Oryzias latipes: one gene and its partner. The protein of the gene in region 2 interacts with the protein of the main gene of each other region in a pairwise test. Links are inferred from orthologs where the notes say so. Each region holds a gene or a part of one and is shown on either strand. Other genes may lie near its edges.

What was found. The genes of interacting proteins can lie anywhere in the genome.
Region 1: the proteins of inositol polyphosphate 5-phosphatase K (region 2) and mad2l1bp interact in binary tests that used the Homo sapiens proteins (3 or more experiments, as listed by UniProt). The link is inferred for Oryzias latipes from reciprocal best matches to the Homo sapiens genes INPP5K and MAD2L1BP.

What each region holds. Positions count from the first base shown.
Region 1 is NC_019873.2:27,031,822-27,036,156, reverse strand, and holds mad2l1bp (MAD2L1-binding protein), read left to right. Parts: upstream 1-1,829; 5' UTR 1,830-1,877; coding exon 1,878-2,178; intron 2,179-2,397; coding exon 2,398-2,669; intron 2,670-2,736; coding exon 2,737-3,258; 3' UTR 3,259-3,688; downstream 3,689-4,335. Other genes in the region: uncharacterized protein LOC101165914, read right to left, coding at 590-706, 820-930, 1,018-1,081, 1,284-1,363; epoxide hydrolase 1, read right to left, coding at 3,703-3,904, 3,992-4,117. UniProt on the Homo sapiens protein: May function to silence the spindle checkpoint and allow mitosis to proceed through anaphase by binding MAD2L1 after it has become dissociated from the MAD2L1-CDC20 complex.
Region 2 is NC_019871.2:19,609,165-19,613,925, reverse strand, and holds the start of inositol polyphosphate 5-phosphatase K, read left to right. Parts: upstream 1-1,356; 5' UTR 1,357-2,339; coding exon 2,340-2,572; intron 2,573-3,523; coding exon 3,524-3,628; intron 3,629-3,700; coding exon 3,701-3,809; intron 3,810-3,888; coding exon 3,889-4,005; intron 4,006-4,761. UniProt on the Homo sapiens protein: Inositol 5-phosphatase which acts on inositol 1,4,5-trisphosphate, inositol 1,3,4,5-tetrakisphosphate, phosphatidylinositol 4,5-bisphosphate and phosphatidylinositol 3,4,5-trisphosphate.

The sequences.
Region 1 (4,335 bases), on a different chromosome or scaffold from region 2:
TTATCCAGAAGCTTGAACAGCAGCTCCGCTCATGACCTTGTATACGTTTCCAGAAAGACAAGCAGAAACTTCTTCCCACATTTTAAAACTTTCCATCGAAGAATAAGGTGAAGGGCGAAATGCTTCAGTGGGCACGTCAAATTTTCTGATTAGTAAAAAAGAGACAAGCCAGTCTATTGAAGCTGCATCGCCTAAAAAGGTTCTGTGATGTTCTGCAAAGCTGCAGAAATCTGAAACGCTGTGGTGCTCGTAGCGGTTACTGCCCTCACACTCATGGCATTTTCCTGCAGACATCATCAAAAGGCCCTGACTAATAATGGATCAAAAAAACACGTATAAAAAGGGAAACCCTTTAAAAATATAAAGGATGAACAAGAAATTAAGTAGATGTAAGAAGCATGAGGAAGAAGCCCACTAACTGTTAATATTCATTAGTTTTTTTAAGTAAAAACTAAATTATTTAATTTAAAACTTGATGTTCTCAAATTATATACATTCATCTTATTATTGCTTAATACCATATATATTTAAACATGAACACATTGCACAGGGCAGGCCACAAAGTACTGAAAATACTGGAAAAACTCACTTTCAGACCCATCATAGTGTGGGATTTCCCTGAGCCTGTTTGCCCATAAGCAAACATGCAGGCGTTGAACCCTTCAAATGCAGCTTTCAACACACCACAACCCAATTCCTGGAAAATCTGAGCAAAACAAAATGCATCAAGAACAAATATGCTGCAAGCACAAACTTTGGTAAAAAATAAAATTAAAATAAAGATCAGAAGATCTTCCATCATATAGAATAAACATGTACCTTCTGCTGGGATGCAAACGTGGAGCTTTCTGTGTCCATGGAGTCAAAAGCAAAGTCAAATGAGAATGTTTTCTCTCTGTCTTTCACCTTTTCCCCTCGCACAGGTGAAGACTAACATAAAAACAGACAAAAACTCAGATCATTGTTGACCTTGTTCACTTCTACAGACTGTTCTCGCATCATTTTGTGATTCCATACCTTCTGAATGGATATTGTGTTCCCCCTAATGTGAACCGTTTTCTTGGATGATAATTGCTGTTCCCTGTGTAAAAAGCCAAAAACAATCAACTAAACATTTTTAAGAACATCAACAACAACCACAGTTGGGTTAAAAAGCTTTTTTTTGACAAAGTTATCATTAGAAGAGCTCAAAAAATATATATTCAAAAACAAAATGTTAAAAAACAAATAATCATCATGAGCAAGAAGAAGTAGTGCCAATTTTTAAGCAAACTTAAATCTACCTTTTATTCAAAGGGCGGACTCGAACAGCCACGCGCACGGAAGACATGATAAAATAAAACCACTCAAAGGAATGAAACATTCAGGTCGTCACCCTTGTCTTTCTGTTTTCTTCAAGGTAATGAATTAATCTTCTTCCACGTGAACGTCGACTAATTATCACACCTGAGGAAGAAAGGCTACTTTTACTGGATGCACTACACAAATCAGGCACTAGGGGGTGCACTGAGCATTGTTTAGTGTGGCATTTGCAGTGTGATTTCCCGACTTAAAAATCTGTCATTAGCAAAAGAAATGTTATAAAATATGTGGTACTTTAGTTTATAAAATATTGTTCTGAATGGTATGATTTTTCTGTAGTTTTGTTTTGGTGGTCAAAGTATGATGTGTTTACATGTTAGAGTTAATGTCTTACAGTATGCCAGTCAAACATACAATACAAAATCCTATGATGATTATTATTTATATTATTCGTTTGTAAACAAGACAGAAAACATTTTAAACTATTTTTTTCCGAAAAATTTGAACGCACCACTTCAACCATTTCCCATGGTGCAGTTGGGTAGAGCCGAGCAGGCGCCGACTTTCAAAAAAACATGGCGGAACCTTGTTTGGTGCTAAAAACGACTCTAGATCCCGAAGTCTCCGAAAATCAATCCGCCGCAAACAGCGAAGACAGCAGGGTGAAGCGGCGACTGTCTTTTCCCTCCGAAAAAGAAATTAGTTCACGAGAAGAACCGAGTTTAACGTACTTAGACCTGAGTTTACAATGTCTTTCTGACGATTCAAACTCTCCTCAACCGACTGACGAGAAGCTGTCAGCGACGGTCCCAAACGGAACCGATGTCTCTTCTGAACAGCGCGAAGAGGACAAAGAAAACACAGAAATTCATCAAGGTAACAATGTCGAAAGAGTTTAGAAGAATTTTAAAAGGAAACACGTTTATCTCATTCTGACTGTTATGTGGTCTTCCTGCTAAATAATTAGCATAATTTGGCTTTAAAATAAACCTTTATATTTTAGCCATCGATTTCTTTACATAAATCTATATGTCAATTAGTTAATATGTCTACCAGGTTACTGTGATGTTGGCAACAGATATGGACTGTTTACAGAAGAGCAACAGGAAGAGGAGGAGGCCACTTCCTGTCAGGAGTCTGCCAGTGAACGCCACTCAAACACGCAGGACAGGGATGCTGAGGTGGTGAGGAGAGCAAAGGAAGAAGGCTGCGTGAGCGTGATCTTCCCCGGCCCCGTGACCCAAGATGGCAGCTACCGTTTTGTCAGCGAGATCCTCAAATGCGTTCTCTACCAGCGGCAGCAGCTCCCCATGACGTACGAGCAGCTCGTGTTCTCCCAGAAGCGGCAGCAGCAGCGAGACGTGGAGGTGAGAAGCACATTTCCAGCCGTCGGTGGCTCTTATAGAAAATTCAAATTGTGGTGTTTCTTTTCAGGATAAAGATGTGGTGAGACCAAGGAAGGTCCACTCCGCAGACGTGGATTACAAGTGTCAGCAGACCCTTCAGGAGCTGGAGGAGGTGCTCCACCAGCTGGAAGTGCTGTTCTCCCTCAGCAGAGTCCCGCGCGTCTTACTGATGATGGGCGGTTCCCTCGTCCTGCCGAAGGAGCTCTACGAGATCAACATGGAGGACCTGCTGCTGGTCGGCGGGGAGCAGGGTCTGCGAGCGTCCTCCTGCCTGAGGCTCCTCTTCCGCACGCTCTTCGTCGCCGACCTCCTGTCCGACTCCAGACCCGTTCGCTTGATGCCCACCACCGTTTTAGCCCTGGCTCACAGGGATTGCGGCGTGGACTGGTTTCGCCCCAAATTACAATTCAAGATTCCCACCCGGGTCAAAAACCAGATCATCGCTTTGGCCACAGATCCCAACGTCTGTGAGAAGCAGAGGGAAAAGGCCGACTGGCAGGATTATGTTTGGTTCCAGGCACCTGTGACTATTAAGGGCTTCAGCAACTAACACTAAAAGGGATTTGGATCATCAGAATGTGTGTCTGTGTGGAATATAAACGAGTGGATGTTTATTTTAGTAAAATGGTTGTTTTTTTTCGCATTAAGATCATGACATTCATGTGCATGTGTGTTGATTATTATTTTTACCTTTGGCATACAAAAGAATGTTTTGTCTTTGTGTGGGGAACAGAATATGCAGGTATTTCCAGAAAACACCAGACATCGCCGCTTGTGCAATACATTTTAATGAACAAGACTTGAACGGTTTGACAAAAGTCGTTGCTTTTGTTATTCATATCTCGGGACACAGTTAACATCCGTTATTCACTGAAAATGATTTTTAACTAGCATCAAGGAGAGCGAACCAGGTGCAGAGAAGATTAAAGCATATTTGTGTGAAGAATGATGAATTACAATTAAAACCAAAAGCATCATGACTCCTGCTCTGCATTTACAGCTTCTCCACTTTCTTCACAAACTGGATGATGTCTTTAGCGAGCAGCTGGGGCTCTTCGAAGGCGGCAAAGTGACCGCCGCTCGGCATGAGCGTGTAGGACTGGATGTTCCGATATCTGATCTGAGCCCAGGATTTGGGACAGTGCATCAGCTCGTTGGGAAACGCCGCCACACCGGTGGGCACGAAAATCCCGGTTCTACAACACAGAATAACGAGGATCAACAGCTTTGAAAAAGAATGTCAGGATTGGAGAGTAAAAGTTTGTGTGTGTGTGTTTGCATACAGGCCATCGATTCTGCTGTTGGGGTCGCTCTTGAAGTTCTCCTTGTAGAAGCGCATGGAGGAAACGATTGAGCCGGTGGTCCAGTAGATCATGACGTTGGTCAGAAGGTCATCCAAGCTGTACTTCCTGTAAAAAAGGATGTTCACTGAAAAATTAACCCCAGTAAATGAGCCTTTACACGTGAAGCCTGAGCTACTGCAACCCGCCCCCCAATTCTCCCCTTGCCACACTGGTTAGAGAAGCACACGACAAATTCATTAAAAAAAAGAAATTAACTGCAGCTTTTCTATTGGTTTTATCTCCATGGCAACCACTTGAAATTCTGGTTGTCTGTCATTGTTGGA
Region 2 (4,761 bases):
TTTTGTAAATTGGGTTGAAAACCAGTGTTTACCTTTGTTTAGATTAGGCCAAAAGGGGACATTTTGAGTATATTTTAGGGTAAGTGGAGTAATTTAATTTTATACATTTTTTAGACTTACTGGAGTCTAGCCGAATCTTCATGCTGGCTATCGTCATCGGCATCACTAGACCTACTACTTTCTGCTATATCCTCCTCACTTTCGCAAAAGGCTTCGAATCGATACGGTTGCAAAAGTGACTCATCATCATGATAATCTCCGCAACTTTCCTCTTCATCTTTCTGTTCATCTGATGATAAATCGCTAATAGGTAGCATCACTCTGTGCTTTGCTATCGGTGCTAGCCATGTTGTCTGCCTTTCGTTACGTCACAAACATGGCGGCGCGAAGTCGGCGGAATGCGTGAAGCCGGCGGCCGTCCTCGTTGTTTATATCGCGTTTTTCGCTATTCTTTTTCGAAAAATATTAAATACAATCGCAACATGAAATAGAGACTATTTACTATATTTTGGCTTATTAAAATAGGCCATGTCACCCACACTTTAAACTGACAAACATATCAGCGCGCGCCCCCTGGTGGTTTTTCACCGCGATGATCATAAATCCAACACCGTCACTGAAGAGAGACTGAAGCATGTCAGAGATGTGGAAGACATGGCAGGAATAGATAGGAATATGTTAGATGGAGTGGGTGGAATTAGTAGTATGGACAGCAAGATATTTAATGAATGCATTGAAGATGAAACTGTATCCACTAAGCTTTAAGCTGAATGTCAAAGAATCAAAGGCAACTCCAAATACCTGAATCTCAGACTCAAAGGCAGTATAATGTCAAACTACTTCATTTTGGTTTTCTTTACAACACTGTAAGCAATAAGTATTTCTAGTTAGCTGAATGATCTCAGTAATTTAATTTTATTTAATTTTTCAATTATTTAATTTAATTAAGCAACTAAAGTAACTAAAAAGTAAATGTAACTTTGCAACAGTAACAAAAAGCAGAACCTTAAGGCAGTCAGAGCAAAAAAGTCAATAAAACTTCTTAACTATTGATTAGGAACAAATGTGAAATAGCAGTGATTAGAAGCAGCATGAAAACTTCTTAACTAGTGTTAACTACTTCACTCCAGTGCTCTCTTCAAAACATCTGAAACAGACTAGAGCAGATTTAAGTTTGATAATGCTCTATTTTCAGTCATTGAAAAGTGTATAAATTAGTGTTAGATGTCACCAGAATGCACCAAATTGCACCATATTAAAATTTTCCGGGGGCATGCCCCCGGACCCCCCTATAGTTACAAGCACCTGCGGAGCGGCGGGTCTCGCTGTGCGCGGTGTCGGGCCAGTAACTTTCAAAAACTACTGGCCCTGTGGGCCAGTGCAAATTTCTGGGCTATGTCAACCCCTGTATATATACGTTCCGTTTATGGGTTTGGCTTCTTGGAGCCAACGGGTACTTCCTGTTTGGAACACCAGAGGGGAGGGGTGTCTCAGTCCATTTCTCATATACAGGCAACGGCTCTGGTCTATAAGACACCGGACCAAATAAATCTTTCAGCACAAGAGGTTGCATAGGATTAGGGTTTTTTTTTTAAGTCCCAGTGATCACTGAAAAAAAGTCTGTTTTTGCTGGAAAGTGGAAATTTGTTCTCTGAATAGTTCCTGATGTCTGCATCAGTTCTGTGAGTCACAGGAGAGTCACAGACGTTTGTCTCTTTGTTTATATTTAACCTTTTTCTTTTTTTTTAACTTGGTTCTGTGTTTATCTTTGTCTTCATCAATGTGGAGTGATGCAATTTATTTTTTTGTTTAGCCAATCCTCACTAGAATTCGTGTTGGTTCCTGAGCAGTTCTGCTGGTTCTGAAAAGTTGCTGTTGTTCCTGCATCCACACTGCAGAGCTCATATCAGTAAAGATGACGGCTTTCATCCAGGAGGATTATGTTGCTTAACATCGCATACCTGCTGTGGATTTGGAGTTTAAAAATTAAAATATTTCACTGCTTAATCTGACGATGGAGCAGCTGAGCGCTCAGCCGCTTTTGGAGGGACGGACTTGGGTTTTTACATTTGACTTTACTCAGATTTTAATGGGCATATTGTTGAGACATTTTGCAATGAGATTAGAGCTGGTATGAATACACAAAGACCACCTGTGGAACAAACAAACCCGTTTCCTAATTGGTCCCAACGGTTGAGTCCTGGAGTTTTCCTCAGTCTGCTCGGTGGTTTGATTCTGAAAAGACTTGCTGCTCTCCAGACTCCTTTTACTCTTCTACTGGTTTGGTCCAGAACCGGTCAGCCCATCCCATCTGGTTGTTCTGCATATCTTGCATCAGAATGGATGAAATTAGCCGCCTCCTTGGTTCTGTAGGGCGTTCTCGCAGCAACACCATCTCCTCCGATGCCACGCAGTCGACCGGGACCAGACTGGCGCTACGGCACCGGCTCAGCCAGCTGATGACCTGCATGGATGACGTGGAGCTAAAAAATGAGCTACATGAGAAAATGGTGGAGACTCTGGACAGTGCCTTTCTTGCTTGCTCCAAGGTGGCCAAAAAGCGCATCTTCAGGTGGAGAGAAAATCAATCTTCTGACTTTTGACATGTTTTTTAGAGGCCTGATGTTTTCTTCTCCTAGTTCTGTGAGCTGAATGTCTGCTGAACTTTTACTGTCCACTGGATTGGTCGTAGCCGAGAGCCTCCCGAAGAGTTTTTTGAGCTGCCTATGCTTTGGTGAAATAGTTTATGTTCACTATCTGCAGCAGCCTGACCTGCTTGGACCATCATTACTATAGAGGTTCTGTTGTTGCAGCGTTCATGCTGAATCCTGATGCATTTATCTTTGGTTAAAGTTCAAAGTTTTTGTGTTTCTGGTTCCCTTTTCCTCACATTTTGTCTGTTCTTCTAAGTCCGACTCTCTTTCCAAAGTGTTTTTAAAGTAAAATTTTGTGTGCTCTTTTTAGAGATTCCGTTTTTTTTGTACATTGGATGCTTTTTTAGGGGTAATTGTTGGTTCTCTTTTAGCTCTCTCATTTCTTGATCTACTTGAGCTTTCAGTGCTTGAGCCTTTCAAAGGCCACATTGCTAAGTAGCTGAACAATGAAGCCACAGAACCTAAACTGATCAGCGTGAGGTCAGACTGGAAATACTTTAAAAGATTTTCCTCCAAACCCCTTACAGTTTGAGGGGTTTGGAGGTTTACATCAGATCAGCCACCCTGCTTGTTTTTCTCCTGCTCTTCCTACTGCTGATTGGCTGGGCCAGGTGATGGAAAGTTCTGATTGGCTGAAGATACCAGGTACATGACAGTATGAAGACTTGGGAAACCAAGCAGGGTGGGGCATCCTAAGGACCAGGGTTGGGCAGCTCTGTTTTACATGTTTTCCTGTTCCAACACATTTAAATGAAGGAGTCGCTCTCAAGTGACGGTCTGAACCAGGTGTGTTGGATCAGGGAAACATGAATCTCCCAGGGGGTTATGGTTGGAAAGTGACCACTATTCCTTATCTTCTTCCCTCTCAGGCTTCACATGGTGACGTGGAATGTAGCCACGGCAGATCCTCCTGAGGATGTGACCTCATTGCTCCACCTGAACTCATCAAAACCTGCAGACCTCTACATCATCGGGTATTGTGACCTCTGACCCCACCATTCTGTTAAATATCAGACCAGGCTGACATTCGTGACGTTTTTGTTTAGCCTGCAGGAAGTGTACTCTGGACCAGTTCGGTTTTTGTCGGATATGGTCTTCGATGACCCTTGGAGTCACCTGTTCATGTCCACTTTGGCACCGCGGTCATGTGTGAAGGTACAGGTGGTCCGGCGCATGCACGGTGCCTTCCAGGTGTGAGCGGGAACAGATCCATCCAGGTTCTCTATCATTTCAGGTGTCTTCCATAAGAATGCAGGGCCTTCTGCTGCTCTTCTTCTCCAAACTGGAGCACGTGCCGTTCATCAGAGACATACGGGCCACGTACACGCGCACCGGCATCTTTGGTTACTGGGTGGGAACTCACTCTTCACTCAACCGTGTGTTAAACAAAACAATGTTATTTAAATCTTCACTAATGACAAAAGTCAAATATCTGAGCTGTTGCAAAAGATACACATCACATCAACCAATCAGGGACTCCGCTTTGGCCCGTGACGTGTTGATGATCAGCAGGCAGGGTACAAAACAACAAGGAGAATCGGATCGTTCTCCTCCTGAACCTTGTGATATTTTCTTATTTGTACGGAGACAAGACAAAAGAAAAAAGATTTTCCTTTGTCTTGTGCCTTTTATTGGGGATGTCCAAGGGAAGTTTTGCAATTATTATGGGATGGCAACAGAACCTACGACCTGGTGGCCGTTTTGTGGTAAAATATGAAATTAGGCGATTTGTCATATTCCCCCCCCCCCCCCCCCCCCCCCCCGTTTTGTTTGAGTAATTTTCACGAAATTTCACACACGCCGCCACCTTAAGGGTACAACCACAACTGAAGTTTTGTTGACTTTGACTTCGAAAAGAGGCCGTCATCTTGCATATGCAAATCCAAACTCCTCCAAGGGTTTTTCATCTATCGTCTCCTAAGTCCTTGAGCATCATTGGGAAGATTTGGGAAAAAAATGCTGGAATAAGAATTTTGTAGATTTATAACAGCGTTAGTTTGGTGAGCTAGCATAAGTGGCGTTCCCCTGTTGCTACATTTCTTACTGGAATATTGTTACATGGATCGCTGGTTCAAGCTGAACAAAACAATATGACGAACAATAAGAA